Linked DNA regions of Saccharomyces cerevisiae S288C. The protein of the gene in region 2 purifies or fractionates together with the protein of the main gene of each other region. This does not show direct contact. Each region holds a gene or a part of one and is shown on either strand. Other genes may lie near its edges.

Evidence for each region.
Region 1: the proteins of SNT1 (region 2) and SET3 purify together in Saccharomyces cerevisiae (affinity purification with mass spectrometry; 6 studies listed by BioGRID, with this or other methods). This does not show direct contact.
Region 3: the proteins of SNT1 (region 2) and SIF2 purify together in Saccharomyces cerevisiae (affinity purification with mass spectrometry; 7 studies listed by BioGRID, with this or other methods). This does not show direct contact.

Annotation. Positions count from the first base shown.
Region 1 is NC_001143.9:497,078-501,493, forward strand, and holds SET3 (histone-binding protein SET3), read right to left. Parts: upstream 2,757-4,416; coding exon 501-2,756; downstream 1-500. Other genes in the region: SAP190 (Sap190p), read left to right, coding at 1-281; GMH1 (Gmh1p), read left to right, coding at 3,205-4,026; SPO14 (phospholipase D), read right to left, coding at 4,267-4,416.
Region 2 is NC_001135.5:183,064-193,139, reverse strand, and holds SNT1 (Snt1p), read right to left. Parts: upstream 6,652-10,076; coding exon 2,971-6,651; downstream 1-2,970. Other genes in the region: exosome non-catalytic core subunit RRP43, read left to right, coding at 122-1,306; fatty acid elongase ELO2, read right to left, coding at 1,505-2,548; BPH1 (Bph1p), read right to left, coding at 7,117-10,076. UniProt on the Saccharomyces cerevisiae protein: Part of the Set3C complex, which is required to repress early/middle sporulation genes during meiosis.
Region 3 is NC_001134.8:445,860-449,816, reverse strand, and holds SIF2 (Sif2p), read right to left. Parts: upstream 2,109-3,957; coding exon 501-2,108; downstream 1-500. Other genes in the region: YMC2 (organic acid transporter), read right to left, coding at 1-150; exocyst subunit EXO84, read left to right, coding at 2,494-3,957. UniProt on the Saccharomyces cerevisiae protein: Antagonizes telomeric silencing in yeast. May recruit SIR4 to non-telomeric sites or repression.

The DNA of each region.
Region 1 (4,416 bases), on a different chromosome or scaffold from region 2:
ATCCTAATGATGATGGCCAGTCATATGCCAGACCTGGTAATCCATTGTATACTACCCCGAAAACACCACCAAGACCGAAGACTATTCTTTTCAATTCTTTATCCGCATTGGATAATAATGGCGAAGACGAAGAAGTGGCACTAGGCACCAGTGTTGATGATCGAATGGATAACGAGATATCAAGCGATGAAGAAGACTCCGAAGATGAAGATGAAGAGAATGATATGGGCAATGAGGAGGGCTACTCATTATATAGGTCAAGAAGTAAAGAAGCTTTCTGAACTAAAACATTCACATTGTCACATTTTCACCCTTTATTCATCAATTTTTTATTGCTCCACTTTTTTCGCATATAGGTCATTTATAATTCATCAAATATATACTTTTTTAATTGAGGCTTGTAATTTAATATTAACCGAATATAATCTTATAAAGAATAATGAATATTCACTTTTGAATATACTTAAGTTTATATAGGTGTAAGAAGGAAATGTCCATGTTTATTTCAGTAGTTTTTTTCTGTAATCCGCAAAGCTTAATTTCTTTTTCGAATGCAGTTGTGAGGACGAAAAATCTGATAAGTGCATTATACTTTCTGGAGTGGATTCTCGCCTTGAATTAACCGAAGCTTCTGTCATGATTTCTTTTGTTTTTGCTTGACTGTGTTGTGCTTCCTTTGACAGTTCTTTATTGAAATTTGAAAGAGAAGGGGTTCTACTTAATTTATGTTCATTCTTTGATTGACTCTCTTCGACATCGTTTGCAGTTTGCCTTGACGTCTTGTTTATTGGTAAAAGAACTGGAATTGGTAATTCTTCAATATTGGTAATGTGTGATTCGTCATAATCTGTGCTCTTCGTAATTATTAAAGGTTTTTCTGAAGTTTCATTTTTTTTGGGAACAGAAATATTAGAAGAATGTTGTGCAAATAAGGCGAATTTGAAGGGTTTTGCAATATCATCAGGATTATTTGTACTATCAATAGTATTCTTTTGAGGAATTTTTGGACCATTATTTCGATTAAGGAATTTTTGTCGATAAAAATTATTCAAAAGTATTGGAGCTCTTTCTATAGTATTTTGAGCCTTTTCTTCTAGCCTATGCAAAATTGGTGGCTCACGTCTCTTTTTGCAATTATATTGGTTGAGAATTTCATTTAATTTATATCTGTTGTTCATTTTTCCTCTGGATTTCACAGATTTATAAAGACTTTGCGCGTATCTCTTCACTTTCAATAAATAACAATCTTTAGAATTATTTCCACAGCCGCATTCGCCGTTACTCAAAATTGTTTCTACCGAATTTATCAGCCCATACCTTTCAAGGTCATCTAAAGAGTCTATTGTCATGCCCTTTATTAATTTTAATATAGGATGTTTTGAATCCCACTGCCATTTGATGTATAACTCCTCATCCTCTGAAATATCTCTCAAAGCTCTTAAAACAAATTTTATTCTACTTGATTTTCTTCCACTGCTTTTGTCATTCCTATTGTCTGTATCTTGCAGTTTTATAGTTACTAATTCAACATTCGGCTGGCAACTTCTTCTCAAATACCTAGTTGAATTGCCTGATAAGCGTGCATCTATATATATCGGCCAATGGGAATGGAAAATGACCCTTCTTTTAGCTGTACCCCATATCCTGTAATGGTTTCGTGGGTCAGTGAGATAATTTTTATAGAAGTCCAATTCGCCTAAAATTTCTTGAATGAAATCACCTTTTATGCAGTCCTTTTTGAGATAAACTCCTAATTTCGTGAAGCCTGGGTAAGTCCTGGAATATGCAATGTCAGCATACGGTTTGACTTCAATTGACACAGATTTAAAGGTCTTATGAGGATATTGTATGACCCAATTATCATCCATATGTTTATTTAAGAACGGTTCGATCAGATCACTTTTAAACACATTGTCTTTCAAGGGCAAGTATATTGCACCATATGCGTCTTTTGCACTCAGGAAATGCTCTTTTTTCTTGGGCATAGAAGTCAATCCATCGGAAGAATTGACAGAAGCGCTTTCGTTTTTGGAGTCTATACTATTATTTGATGGGTTTCTTTTCCTTCTTTTGTCCCTGTGGTTAGTATTGTCCTGATCCGTTGAAAAGCTATCGCCAACGTCACTAATAGTTGTACTCGATGCTCTGTCCCGACCGTTATTCTTATTACTAGCACTATTGTTTGATGAAGAAGGTTCTACTGTTTTTACGTTTATGCGTTCCTGCTGTATTTTCCTAGCCAAGTTAATGTCTACCTCTCTTGGATCACATGAGTTGCAAAGGTAATCATCAGGTGCCATCCCAATATCTTTGATGCCATAGCAAATAGCATGCTGCCATCTGTTGCAGTGGTCACATTGGATAGTGAATCCATCATCATCATTTAAATCACATATACATGTAATTATACCCGCGTCAGGATCGACTATATACGAATCAGGTACCGGCCATTGAGGTTGCTTTTGAGGTTGATTTTCGGTCTCTTCTTTTGCTGCCGTGGATGTTGCTGCTTCTGCCGCCGATTGCTCAGTAGCTTTCTTTAAAGGTAAAGAAACTGTGGATGCTGTAGCCAGTGCTGCTGCTGCCATTTCTATTGCTCCTTTTTTTTCTCTCTCATGAGACTCATCATGCTCAATAGTATCTGTTTTAGAGCCTATTTTTGAAGCTTCTTCAGCTCTTTTTTTCCCTTTTGAAAACAATAACAATGTGGATGCATCATCTAGGAGCGACTGCTCTTTGGAATTAGGTACTGACATGATTCAGTTCTCGTATTTTGTGAAGTACGATCTAAAACTGTTGTATATACGCTTTAAATCATGTTTACTAGAAAGGTCCTTTATTACTACTTTCTGTATATAGCATGTCGTTGATAATGATATGCATCTATCATGACATAGTAAGATGAATGAGTTGGTTGAACAATTTCCAGGGAAACAAAGGACTAGTTTCATGTCTTTAATGTTTTTTTACGAATAATATACCATGCTATAAAAGTATTATAATAAAAGGTATCGACTACCTGTAATCTAGAATGATAATTTCATACAACGATCACTTCCAACGGTTAAATAATTACCAATAGACCTTACTAGAATATTAAACTTAACAGGTTTAAATTTTGTTGAAATAACTGCAAAAAGCCAGAAAGAAACAGATTTGCACTATAATTTTTCGATTGCCACTACTTAGTCAACGGATTTATCAATGTCATATTTGCCGACTTATTCCAACGACTTGCCAGCAGGCCCGCAAGGCCAGAGGAGGCGTAATAATGGTAATGAAAACGATGCAAGACAAGGCTACGGTCAGCAATCTGTGCCGATGGTAATCAGGAGGCTTTTCAAAACGCCAAAGAATTTAGATCTCGAGACAGCCAGCTGGGAAATGTTCCATTTGATTTTCCATCCAAGAAAAGCTTATAGATCAATATATTATCAGCGACAGACGAAAAATCAGTGGGCGAGAGATGATCCTTCCTTTTTCATCTTCCAAATAGCCTTAATTTCACTCAGTTCTATTATTTGGTCGATTTATAATTCAGGTTTCAACAACGACAGTGATATGGGGGCCTTGAGCATTATAGGTCATTTTTTCAAAAGTTTGGTAATGATGGTGATTTTAGATTTTTTCATATTTGGATTTATTATGGCAACTATTTTTTACCTTTTGTTGAATAGGTCACATTTTAAATTCAAATCGAGCCAAAATAGTGTGGTAGAGTGGGCTTATTGTTTCGACGTTCATTGTAATTCATTTTTAATCATCCTACTGTGCCTATACTTCATTCAGTTTTTACTACTGCCCATAATTAATTTACAAAACTGGATTTCCTTACTCATTGGTAATTCGTTATATTGTTTTGCTATTGGCCATTACTTTATTTTAACCTTTTATGGATACAACCAGTTGCCATTCTTGAAAAATTTGAACTTTATACTTTTACCAACATTAGGATTATCGATAATCTATTTAATCAGTTTATTTGGCATCGACTTATCCAAGAAATTAAGCTTTTACAATTATTAAGCAATTGAACACGGAAATAGAAAAAATTTGGTTCTTTAAGATAAAGCACATAAATTACATAATGATATTATTATTATATATATTTGAAGTATAAAAATGCAATGAGTAATAAGAGCAATAATGACACTATGGACCAAAAGAATGCATAATGAAAACTGTTTATGTATCAGCGTCGAATGCTTATAACAGATAAAAGGAAAATACAGGTAATGGTGTGTTCCTGGTCGTTTTTATATTCCCTTAATTGTAGATTTCCATTGGAGAAAGTCTATCCGAGTTAAAAATCCAATTTCTACTCTCAACTTCTTTAGCTAACCATTCGGTTGGGAAAATGACCAAATGACCGTGGATCCTTTCCAAGATTCTCTGCGCCGTATGTTTGTCAAAAAC
Region 2 (10,076 bases):
AGTATAAGATTTTTCTTTCTTTTTTTATGACAGAGTATATAACAATAATGGACAAATTAGACGATGAGTATTGTTACACAAATAAGTTTGACAGTAGTTTCACAGGCATCTAATATTGGAAATGGCTGAAAGTACCACGTTAGAAACTATTGAGATACACCCAATTACTTTTCCACCTGAAGTTCTTGCGAGAATATCTCCAGAATTGTCTTTACAAAGACACTTATCCCTAGGAATCAGGCCATGTCTAAGAAAATATGAAGAATTTAGAGATGTTGCTATAGAAAATAATACTTTATCGCGTTATGCGGATGCTGGTAATATAGACACTAAAAACAACATTTTAGGCTCAAATGTTTTGAAAAGTGGGAAAACCATAGTCATAACTTCTATTACGGGTGGAATAATAGAAGAAACTAGCGCCGCGATTAAAGATTTGGATGATTTCGGTGAGGAAGAATTGTTCGAAGTGACCAAAGAGGAGGACATAATTGCAAATTATGCTTCTGTCTATCCGGTGGTGGAAGTTGAAAGAGGTAGAGTGGGCGCTTGCACCGATGAAGAAATGACTATATCACAAAAACTACACGATTCCATATTGCACTCTAGGATATTGCCTAAAAAAGCCTTGAAGGTAAAAGCTGGTGTTCGTAGTGCGAATGAAGACGGTACGTTTTCCGTCTTGTATCCCGATGAATTAGAAGATGATACGCTGAATGAAACAAACCTGAAAATGAAAAGAAAATGGTCATACGTTTTGTATGCGAAAATTGTAGTCTTGAGTCGCACTGGTCCAGTCTTCGATTTGTGTTGGAATTCTTTGATGTACGCTTTACAGAGCGTAAAGTTACCTAGAGCATTTATAGATGAGCGTGCGTCCGATTTAAGAATGACTATAAGAACAAGAGGAAGAAGTGCCACCATAAGAGAAACGTATGAAATTATTTGCGACCAAACTAAGTCAGTACCGTTAATGATAAACGCAAAGAATATTGCATTTGCTTCAAATTATGGGATAGTGGAGTTAGACCCCGAATGCCAATTACAAAACTCTGATAACTCTGAAGAAGAGGAAGTGGACATTGATATGGATAAATTGAACACTGTGCTAATAGCAGACCTAGATACTGAAGCGGAAGAAACAAGTATACACAGTACGATCTCCATCCTCGCTGCTCCTTCAGGTAACTATAAGCAATTAACATTAGTGGGAGGAGGCGCTAAAATAACGCCAGAAATGATAAAAAGATCATTGTTGTTATCTAGGGTTAGAGCGGACGATTTGTCAACAAGATTTAACATATAAAAGACTCGGATAAAATTATCTGATGACTGTCGAAAGGAAACGGAAAACTTTTTTCAACGATAACATGTGTATGTAATATATAACAAAACCATCCGGTCTTTTACAATATAATAATAGTGATAATAGTAACAATAGATCCACTAAGAAAAAACGAATATACGAAAGTTGAATACTTAAATTCTTTCAAAGATTTTACACTTACCTTTTTCTTCTGTGTTGAGGTTTTGGTGATGGAGATGGAGTAGGAACGTTTTTCAAGTCAACGTTAACATACTCATTAACCTTTGCGGCAACACCGCCGTGGGCACGCTTTACCACTCTACTGGTTTTGGTGCCTTTACGTTTATAAACGTTAATGTAAAATGAAATAAATAGTACCAAATATGAAGAAATAATGGCACAACCTGCAAAGGTGGCAGTTGTTGAACCCACACAGTCACCACAATGTGGCAAAATTGGGAAATACAAGTGAACTGCTTTTTGGTAGACAGCAAAATATATGAAACCGATATCCAAAACAAATTGGATAATTTGAAATCTGGTAACCCATTCCTTCCACCAGACCCTGATGCCTCTGGCAGCCAAGAAATAGTACCAATACATAACCACGTGAACACCAAGGTTCAATGAAATAGGGACCCAAGAAATAGATGTGGTGCCCATCAATTGGGTGTAACATAATAAGGCAGTAGCGCCATGGTGATAAGTATGCAAAAATGTCAATTTTTTATGTTTTAGCACCAAGAAAAAGGTGTCTATAAATTCAATAAACTTGACAATGTAATTCATGTAATATAATGTAACGAGCGGTTGAGTCCAAGCACCAATATTACAGATAGCGAAGTATAACCCGTGCTGAACAATAATTGGCACTAATTGTTCAACCATAAGCAATAAAAGCGTCAATGAAAGTGAAGTTAAAACCAAATTATGCAATTGGAAAAGGCCATTTAATTTAAATGGTTTCGACTTACTTAACAAAAACCTGCCACCAAAAATAATAACGTAATAGGCAGTGATGGCGTATAGCACAGGGGGCAAAGTGCTTAATGGTAATTCACCTGCAATGAATTGGAATTCGCTTGGAACAAATCTACCGTTAGTTACACGAGTGACGACATCATCGAAATGTTCCCACAACGAAATATTAAAAAATGGTCGCTCCAAAGTTGGTAAATAGTCATGAAGTTGGGGATAACGCTCGAACAACGGAGCAGCATATTGAGTAACGAGTGAATTCATGGCTTCTAGACGAAGATAATTAGTTCAACCTTTTCACTTTGTACAAAATTGCTTGTGGATAATAGTGAAATGAAAAATATTTTCCAATTTTTCATTGACTTTTTCGCGATGTTTATTTCTCTGTGGGTTTTGCGATTTTCAGCAATGGCCGCACGCCAGGACATGTGAATACGTACAAAAATAAAATGTGACATATTTACACGACACTTAAATAAAGTCGTTTAAAATCGGAAAAAACTGTATAATGCAGAAAAAATACGAAATTACAATTATAATTAAAAACTCCTCCCTTTATATATATACATATATATATATATAATATAGTACACTAACACACGTAAGGTAATGTATGCTCGAGAGTTTCACCAACCATTGGATGGAAAAGAAGTAGAGCATATGTATTGCCCGTCTCAGCCGTTTGTTCAATTATTATTTTCCTTTTTAGATAAAAAACTGCTCATTGCATCTGGCGCGGAGGCAACCGCAGCCAAAGCTGCCAACGGATCATTCGAAAAATTGAACTTTGGAGGCGCACGACTTATTGGACTAGTGCGAGGGGCCGGTAAAGGGAAAGTAGGAGTGCCTTGAGAAATAGCATGCTGAAATGGCAGCAACGGCCTTCCATCTGGGTTTGATTGCCCATTCCCATTTACAGGATTTAGTAATGCAGAAATAGAACTCGATCTTGGCGTAGTAATATTCGGTTTTATTTCTTGTACTACAATATTGTTCATGCTGGGAGTGTCTTCGAGCTGTGCTTCGTGTCTTGAAGCGCTTTGGAAAGAAGATTTCATGCTTCGATCCGAATTATTCAATAGATTGCTGATTGTCGTCGATTTACGGCCAATGTCAATTGCATTCCTTTCATTACTGAAGTTTTGATTATTTGTTACTGACGAAGCTGCATCAGCCAACGTGTCAATATGGTCTAAGGGCCTGTTACGCAAATCTGTCACTGTAGGTTCTGCCATTTCTGAACGAGGAAACTGAATAGATGGTAGTCTTGGTGGTGGTAAAGTGGTTAAAGGAGCACTAATTTTAGAAAAGGTATCACGATGAAAATCAGGCCCAAATGGTCTTATAGAGCCATCGATAGATGAAATAGATGTATTATGCCCATGAGTTGGTTGTCCAACAAAATAACCCAAAGCCGGTCTTTGTTGAGGAGGAATATTACTATAGGCATTGATGTTTGGTCGTTCTGGTTGTATCAAAATTTGAGATTGTTGTACAGATTCTGAACTAGTCCCATCTCGCTTTAAGTCGGTTTCATCAACCAGTAATTTCCATCCATTGCGAGCTGCATTTCTTTGGTAGTAATTCCTTACCATTGTAGTAGATTTGGTACCCAGTTTTTCTGATATGAGAGACCATTGAGAGCCAAACTCCTTCAACAATTCTGGAAAGAGTTGAGATTCACGAACACTCCAATAACTTGTTTTATGCTCTGGTGCAGATTTGTGTTTCTTTCTCTGTAACGCATTCTCTAAACTGAAGTCAAGTTCTTTGGTCTCCTCTGGATAATAACCATTCTGAACAGCTCCTTTTGGATCCATTATTTGTACCCCATTGTTGGTTTCTATTACACTGGACTTATTGCTCTCTTCTCCAACTTCATCATGCGCCCTTTTTAAGTCGTTTACCCTCTCAGCATTTTCCAATTCACCTGCAAACTCTTCGCCTCTCTGTTCAATCATATTTTCAACTTTTTCCGGTGTACCTAATGGATCACCTTTCACTTCAGAACCTTGAACTAGAACCGGCTGAACATTTTCCTCGGCATTGTTCTCACTTTTTTCTTCCTTCTCTATCGTGTTCGTTGACTCTTCTTTACTCTCATCAACTTCGACTTCCTCGTCATTACTTCTTTCCTTCCTCTTGCGGCGCTTGGCAGCGGCTGACATTTTTCTTTTCTTGTTCTTATCGATAAGAAGTTGTTTATAATTCACAGTTTTCTTTGTTCTATAATAATGTAGGACACACTCTTCAGGACTTCTTAAGCCGCCCATGTAGTGAGAAATTTTACCAAATTTTTTAGGATGAATTAAATAACCCTCCAAAAATAAAGAGTGCTCATGGTCAGTAAAGTTGTCAGAGGCGTCTTTCAATATTCTAGACGCCCAAAGCTTTTTGTCTGTAACCAAGTTATTTACATCACAGAATTTGTAAGAGTGTTTGCGGATTGGATCTAAAATTAGCGGAGGAATTGTTGCAGCAGCCTGATAATGTTTATAATTTGGGTCGATTTGTAGCAATACATTTTCCATTTCCGCATCATCAACGAAGTCAGCCCTATTTCTGCGACGAGATGAGGAAGACGAGGATGGATGCCGTAAGCTTTTTTCCTTTTCTGTTTCGATACCTTCTTCACGTCTTTTCTGCTCCATTAGTTCGTGCTCTTTACGTTTATTTTCGATTTCTTCCTTCCTTAAATTTTCACTCAGTTTAGTCAAAATTTCGCATTCTTTTTCATACTTCTTCTGGAGATCGAAATAATCATGTTTTAAATTTATTTTTTTCAAATGTTCTTCCTTTTTTATCTTTGATATAATTTTCGTCAAGATAAGTCCGGTAGCCTGCTGATGTATAAGTTTGTTCTGTGCGTAAAAAGGATACTCTGAGAAATTCCTAATTGCCTTTTTCAGTAAGTACTTTTGTTCACTTATTATTTTGTTTCTTTTCTGGTTTTTCAATTCCCATAATCTCGTTTCTGCTTTTGGTAATGGGAAAATACACCCCTCCACTTTTTCAAGAGGTTCTTCGTAACTTTTATTATCATTGTCTACTGTCAACTTTGTTACGTCTGTTTTCAGGGCTTTCGGATCGTATGCTCTTTCATAATCTCTAATTTCTGGGCTTTCCTTCCTTTCAACAGAGCGTGTTAGTTCCTTTTGACTTTCTTTGGAAACTTCGACTGCACTGGCCACTGTTTTTGCCGTCGTCCAAATTTCGTCCTGCTTTCCATCAATATTGATTTTACTTACTTTTTTAGCGCGAGCTTCTAGTTCATCATGCTCTTTCATTTTTACAGGAGTAGGATGTTCCTTTGCTATCTCACGCCCACTTTTATGTACTTCTTTTTTCCCCAATGCATCTTCTTCGCCAACCTTGATATTATCGGGTTCTAAAGGTGCATTAGGTTTAGAAACTGATTTTCTTGGTGGAAAATTGTTATCATGGTACGATATGGCTTTTGTCTCATCTTTACTGGGTGTTTCAACTTTAACTGAAGCCTCTGGTTTGTCCAATTTATTCGCATCGTGAAATTTTTTAGTATGAAGGGAAGGCGATGACTGTGAATGAGTTGATTTTAAAATAGTAGTACTATTTGCTTTCCAAAAAGGTTCCCTTTGATGGATCGAGTTAGTATTGCTGGTGGTCGTCATATTGCCGACATGATTATCAAATGGTGGTCTGGAAGGCGTTCCAATGGATCTCCATTTGTTGCTCCTAGAGTAATAAGAATGAGGGCTGTTATTATTAACAGATGAAACATTATTTGTTTCGAGCTTGTTCGTTACATCAGGACTATAATCATCCATTGATCGAGGTCTCCGAGAACTCCCGTTGGCAACATAAAACGGTGGAGCGTTTGATAATGCCGAGGGAAAGTGGGTAACGTTTGTAGAACTAGTAGATTGAGGATTATATCTGCTCATGGTTTTTCGAGAATAGCGTGAGTTTCCGATATCCGTATTGGTGTGTGTTATGGTGCTCGTATTCATACTTTCCGGAGTTGAACTAGTGGTTGAAGAGGATCTTTCCACATCTGGGTTATAACGGCTTCCAATTTTTCTTGTTGACGAATAAGATGATGACGAAGGCCTACTGACTGAGCTCGGATCATATCGAGATGGCCTGGGTGCTTCGATACCAAACGTGCTTCCAGGTGCCGCTGTAGGAAGAGGTACAGATGCAGTACTGGGAGTTACAGACGGATTTGTTGAATTATCGGCAGTAGGAGAAGATACAAATCCATTATTGCTTGATTTTGGAAAGCTATTCTTGGAATAAACAGCGGAAGGATGCCTTCGGTTAGGATTATTGGAATAATGGTACCTTTTCTTATCTCCAAGCCTTCGTGTAGGTGGCGGATACCCCATGTTTCTTACGCTTTGTTTCTGTTTGCTGTTCTATGCACAAGTTAGTAGGCAAATTATTAAGCAGGCCCTTTCGGAATAATTTAGTGGTTGTATATTTTGCTTGTTAAGGATTCGAGCAATATGACGGCTTCTTTCCCACTGCCTGTCTTAAACAATGAGTAAATTTGAAGGTGGTGCACAAAGTCAATAGTAATCCGAATTTCTGGTCTCTATTAAATCTGCGGTTGCGTTTTGATTTTTACATAATTCAAAGAAGAATTAATCGTTTGTTTTTTTCTTTTACCCTTTTGCCGTTTTCCATAGGCGAAATGGAGAAGAAATACTAGAAAAAAATACCCGGCGTTGGTAATGATATTGGATACGTACGCAATTACAATACTAGATGGGATGAGAAATCAGTTTCAAAAGTAAAGATATAAACTACAAAAATTGAATCATTTAAAGAAAGGCGTTACGATGTGATGCCTAGTACCAAATAGCTAATCTGCCATCTAATGTTCCCGCAATCACTTCTATCTCATGAGGCTCTGCTGTATCCTTGCGTCTTTTCTGGGACAGGTATGTCTTCCCCTGTCCCTTAATGCTAGTTATGGCTTTCCCTTTTTCGGTACAGAGCTGCTTCAGTAGCTTTATCGCCCATTCATTATGAAAATTCAAAAAGAGCTCGTAAATTTCTATAGTTCCATCTTCAAAGCCCACTAGTAGTATTTCCATCTCTTTCCAATAGATATGCTTTCTGTAACCTGCGTCTAACTTAGTGAAGTCAAAAAAATCAATTGAGCTTACAATTTTAGCTGGTTCGAATTTCTTTGATGTATATATTTGTCCATTTAGATTGAAGATCGAAATGGCGTTATTCTTAGTCAATACCATAATGCTCCCTGCATGTTGAGATATTGCGACCTTTTGCGCATCATTTGTTATTTGCCTTACTAGTTCGAAATTAATCATGTCCCAGACATATACTAAGCCGCTGATGTCTAAGGTTAAAAGCGTATTGTAGTCGTGATAACAGCGCATCTCCTTTAGCTCGCATAGGTGCCCAAACATTGTTTTTTTGTTCTCAAGGTTACCTGAAACCGAATGCTTATCTTTACGATATTTCCAAACTTTTATCAGCCCATTTTTATCGCCAGTTATGAATTCGCCCAACTTCCAGTACGCAAACGATGTAATCTGAGCCATATGCGTCTTTTTAAAAATATCTAGTCCAATTTTTAACCAATTTTTATGCACAATTCTCAATGACACTAACGATTCTTCCGTTCTGAAAAACAAGTTTGGGAAAGCGAAGCCCCTCCAGTATAATGAATCGAAGTAACTAGGATCGTGTATAACATAATCGACGGACCTGTTCTTTTCATTCAAATTAAAGATTGTCTTCTCAAATATTGGCTTCATTGGAACCTTACGCCATACCTCTGTTGTTAGCTGTTGAACATTGCAGGCTATTTTTTCCGGATGAGGTTCCTGAAATATTTGTAAAGGCGTTTGACCAAAGTTGTGAATAATGCCTGTGATAGCTCTGCGCTCATTTTCATCGTCAATGTTATCTAGATTTACAGCGCCTGGGTAACTCAATCTGTTGAATACGTTAACAGATTTCACAGCAATGTCCCCCTTTTGTTTGTAACCAAATATCAAATCAATCCATTCATGTAAATGTGCTGATACATAAGGACTTTCTAAAGCTTCTCTATTCTTTTGAATGAAAACCTTTGGGTCACCATTTGCCCAGGGTGGAAGTACGACGTCGTCAACTTTTTTACCGCTTTGGTCTGTACCAAAGTCATAACTATTAACGTTGATCAAAAATTCAGGTAGAAAAAAAAATTCAGGTGTCAATTCCCTGACATCCGTTGTATTTTCAGAAGAAGCAGAGCTCCAGGCCCTTTCAAGCGAACTAAATAAACGATCTGCAGGGCCAAAACTTCCGCCTTGCAATAACAAAAAGGATTCGACAAAGGGCTTCAGCCTTATCAGATATGAAGATACTATCATAGCTGAGGAATAATGCGTGCCATAATGAAATGGTGCGGAATCAGCATTTTCCAGGGAAGCCAAAGCTTCATAACGCTCTATAAACTGTAATTTCCTTTTCTCACTTTGAGCGCCCATAGGTTTCGATAGGTCCCGGTAAGTTTTAGGATTCTCTAAATCGAGTACGTTACTTTCGTAATCTGCAATAACCCACGGAAACACTGGATATTGGGTCAAATCGTTGAATGACCTTCCCGCTAGGATGTTGATACTCAACAGGTAATAAAAATTAGAAATCTCTCCCCTAACCCATTTTTTGCTGATCTCAAATCCATCTATTAGGCTGTTGTTCGCTGAGAAGACGCTAGTGAATTTAGAAGCAATGCTTGCCTTTCCTATTCCATTTCTTGCCACTATACTATTTCCTCGGTCGTTTATTTCTTGTAAAACGCTTGAAAAAATTGGATCTGCTGGAAGGTGCTTCGGGATCTTATTCAGTACCCGTAAAACGTCATCTCTCACTCTTTTGTTGTAAAAACTAAAAAAAGCGCTAACTCTCTCTTTGAACAATAATTCGATGGCGACATCCCGAAGTAGAAAGGGTCGTTTGGTAACGAAAGTGATATCGAGAAGTTTCCAAACAAAGACTTCGTGCTTTAGGAAAGTTGATACCCTTTTAACATCAGGGCCGTTAATTAAGCTAACCGTCATATCCCGTGATTCTTGCGATACTTCTGATAATTTTAGAATCTTTTTATCCTCTAAACTAAAATAGTAATCACTTACAAAGTAAAGGTAATTACTGCCATGAATTAAAATCCCCTCCTTAATTTCTAATCCAATAATCAAACTGCAATTCCAAATAGTTGCAATGGAATCGTTATCCTTCAAAAGTCTAAGAATTTTTCTATTCTCATTCAAATCTCCAACTGGCTCCGACTCAAGAGTCTCCATATGTTCGATAAATTCGTAGGATAAAATGCTTCCACTTTCTCTCCTTTGTCTGTTACCACCTGTTATAGTATCTTGATTAGCATCTTCCTCGTTAATGAGTGGTTCATATTTTGGTTCCCAAGCAGGCAAAAGCCTCCGTTTCATCCCATCAAAATCTTCTGCAAAGTCCGATGACCACTTGCAGGACGAATTTGGATTTGATTGTATCTCCAGTGTATGTTTCAGATGAAAAATCAAAAGATTTAAATTATTTCGATAGAAAACTGCATTTTCTTCTCTATCCGTTTTGAGGTTGTAAGTGTATCTTGATATGGACTTTTTGATTTTAAAATCTAAGGATGTGTTGTCTTTTCTAAATAAAATAAGGCACTTTTTATTGTTTTGGGTGACGTATTCTGATCTTGCATTTTTCCATTCGTAAACTTGGTTTTTGATCTGTCTAACGCTTATTGGAGAAAAATTGTTGTTCTTAAACAAGATATTGGTGACAA
Region 3 (3,957 bases), on a different chromosome or scaffold from region 2:
AAGAACTTGTGCAATACCACCGATGGTACCCGCAAAAATATCCTTCAACACACGATTAGAACTTAACTCTCTCTTCTCATTCGGCGTGGTAACTTTCTGTTGATCTTCCAATTCATCCAAAAGCTGCGGCGTAGGAAATTCTTCACTCATGACTAACTGTAATTGTAATACACGAAATTATTGCGCCGCTTTTTTCTGTTCTTTATGGCTACCCCTATTTATCAATTACAGTTGTATCATCCAAGAGGTGAAAACTAATTAAAGAAACTTATTTTAACACAAGGTATAAAAAATTATAAAAAAGCAATGCTCATTGTCTTCTCTCATCGCGAGCGGCCGTTATCTTCAAAGTGATGACTCTTCGAGATTCCTGCACAACGTCACTCAAAGGCGGCCCGCGACGTTTTCCATTGCGAAATTTTTCACTTTTCACCTTTTGTAAACAAAGAAATAACAATAAGAATGATAAAATTCATCTGTTTATGTACTGTACCTAGTTATTATATGGCTACAACTGAACCTTCTTGAAGCGAGTATGCTACAGAAATCTTGTTTCCCGCACAGTTCCATGACAGATCAAATATATAATCATTGTCTTGGCTGCTTTGGTAGCTAGCGTAGAGGGGAATTGGTAATGGATTCAAAATCCCATCACGGTTACCATAAAGACTTCGTGACTTGCTGTTCAGTTTTTTTAAATCGTAGACGTTTACCTGCCCATCCATGAAAGCAACTGCGTACTTCTGTCCATCTTGTGATATTCTTCCAGCAAAAATTGGGACACCATCCACGATTGATAGAGCCAATAGCGTATTCTGCTTCAGCGACCATAGGCGAACGGAGCCATCCATCGAGCAGGATATTACCTTATCATCACCGACCCATGATGCCGATACTATGCTTTGTGAGTGTCCGTAGAAGCAATTCTGAGAATTGCCGTTACCGCCATGCCATATTCTTAGAGTACCATCGTCTGAGGCACTAAGTAGAAGTTTATTGGTGTCATTGAACTCCAAAACGCTGATAGGTCCATGGTGTCCAATAAGTTTACCAGTGGGCGTTTTTTCTGTAATTTGGTATACAAATATAGCACCTTTAGGGCCAGGAATGACAAATTTGTCATCGTCTACCCATTCAACGTCAACCCCAAGTGAACCATCGCCACTATGGTTCTCTGCGTTGATGGATGAGCCACCGGTTTCTTTTAATTCAAAGTGCTGCATGACGGTCCCGCTTATAACATTCCAGAGTATAGTGACATTTTCCACGTCCATGGATATGATATGTGTTCCATCTTTGTTCCATTTAACGGATACTATAGGTGCTCTATGAAAATTTAAAACATTCAGAAGTGCCCCCGTCTTATTCCATAGTCTTAGCTCACCATTTTCTACACCCGTGACAATTGAATTACCATCGTGTGACCAAGCAAGACATGTGACTTGATTCGTCGTTTTACCACTACTTGCACTCAGAGCAAAAGGATGTCTCAACTCCGCTATTATCGTGAGTTTCCAGTATTTTTTCCCTTCTTGATCGGTTTCTACTATCCTCGCTAGTCTTGCAACAGAATTTTTTTCACCGTATGCGAGTATAGATTCATCCAATGGATTCCAAGTGGAGGAAACAATATTATCTAATTTTACTATCTCCTTCAGTATTTTGACAAATCCGTCTAGGTCATCACTACTGTCAATAGAATTAGTATCGTCCTCTTGGGTTTCTCTTTCAACAGTACTAGCGCCATCTTCACCTGCTTTATTACTCTCGGAATTGGTTTCCAAAGTGAACCTTCCTTCAGAAGAGATCTCAGGAAATTTTTCTTTATCTATTTGCAGCGCCTGAACCAAATTGAAATCTTCAGAAAGATGATGTTCATTTAAAGCGCTGATATCACCTTTACTATCAACCATTAACTCACTTTCTGTATACAAGATTCCCCTTTGTACTAGATTCACCAGTGTACCCAAAGGAATGTGTTCTTTATACTTCTCATCAAATTCCAATACTCTTGTTTCATCCTGCAATGCTAATGCACTCACCTCGTGTCCCATCTCTTGACAATACCTCCATATCAAGTAGTTTAGTTCTTCACTTGTTATACTCATTTTCCGTGTGATGGGCCTTCCCTACCTTTTTTTTGTTTCTGTTATTTTTATCTGAGTTAGCAGTTGTTAGTGTGGGCTGTACACTTCTTTGGAAAAAAAAACCTTCAATTTCGCACCAAGGTGTTTAAATTGTTCTCACTAATTGCAAATCAAAACGAATGGTCTTGCATATCTCATAACCTTTTCAACATGAATACATTCCTAATCATTTTTGTTTATTTCTCGTTTGCTAAGTTCCGCTCCATGAAAATAGATGACTGGAAAAAGAGACTAGAGACTGCAGTTAATAGTATATTTGTAAGACCTTGAGCAAAGCCGAATGAACAAAAAGCCTTCATATTAGACCAGGTAAGAGACTGAAAGTTGAAATATTTGTACTGTGAAAATGGTTGAGTTTTCTTTGAAGAAGGCCAGAAACAATTGGAAGCATGTAAAGAAGTCTGCAAGCTCTCCTGCTAAGCAAAAGACACCTCCATCGCCTGCTAAGCCTAAACAAAAAACAAAAAAGAACCCTTATAGTGATCTCAAGGATCCGGCTACCAGTTATACGCTACCAACAATCAATGCAAGGGAGAGAAGTAGGGTAGCAACTTCAATGCAGAGAAGACTATCAATTCATAATACAAATTATGCTCCACCTACACTAGATTACTCAATGCCCCTACCTGATATGCCAAACATGATAGTTCCCAATGATAATGTGGATAGTAGTCATAATAATAGTAGTTTCACCACTGAGAACGAATCGGTAAGCTCTAAAGGCCCTTCCAACAGTTTAAATCTTTCAACTGCCGATCTCTCCCTGAACGACAGCTCCTATAATAAGGTGCCTGCTAGATCAGCAATGCGAAATACTGTCAATCCTTCCGGCAGTAATGATCCTTTCAATAATAGCACGTCGCTAAGAAAGATGTTGGCAAACCCGCATTTTAATGCTAAAGATTTTGTTCATGATAAACTAGGCAATGCGAGTGCCATTACTATTGATAAATTTACCTCAAATTTAACAGATTTATCGATACAGGTCCAAGAAGAAGTAAAGTTAAATATCAATAAATCATATAACGAAATCATGACGGTAAACAACGACCTAAATGTTGCTATGTTGGAGCTTAAAAGGGTTAGAGCAAATATAAATGATTTAAACGAGGTTTTGGATCAGTGCACCAAAATAGCTGAAAAAAGGTTACAATTGCAGGATCAAATAGATCAAGAGAGACAAGGCAATTTTAACAATGTTGAAAGTCATTCTAATAGTCCAGCGTTACTTCCGCCTTTGAAAGCAGGACAAAATGGGAATCTCATGAGGAGGGACAGATCGAGCGTCTTGATATTAGAGAAATTTTGGGATACGGAACTGGATCAGCTGTTTAAGAACGTTGAAGGTGCTCAGAAGTTTATCAATTCTACGAAAGGAAGACATATTTTAATGAATAGTGCCAATTGGATGGAATTAAATACTACCACTGGTAAACCCTTGCAGATGGTACAGATTTTCATTTTGAATGATTTGGTACTTATCGCCGATAAATCAAGAGATAAGCAAAATGACTTTATAGTAAGCCAGTGCTATCCTTTAAAGGATGTCACTGTCACGCAAGAGGAATTTTCCACTAAGAGGCTACTTTTCAAGTTTAGCAATTCGAATTCAAGTTTGTATGAATGTAGAGACGCAGACGAATGCTCTAGGTTGTTGGACGTTATAAGAAAGGCTAAGGATGATTTGTGCGACATATTCCATGTAGAAGAGGAGAACTCTAAACGTATTAGAGAGTCCTTTAGATATTTGCAATCTACGCAACAAACCCCAGGTAGAGAAAACAACAGAAGCCCTAACAAAAACAAAAGA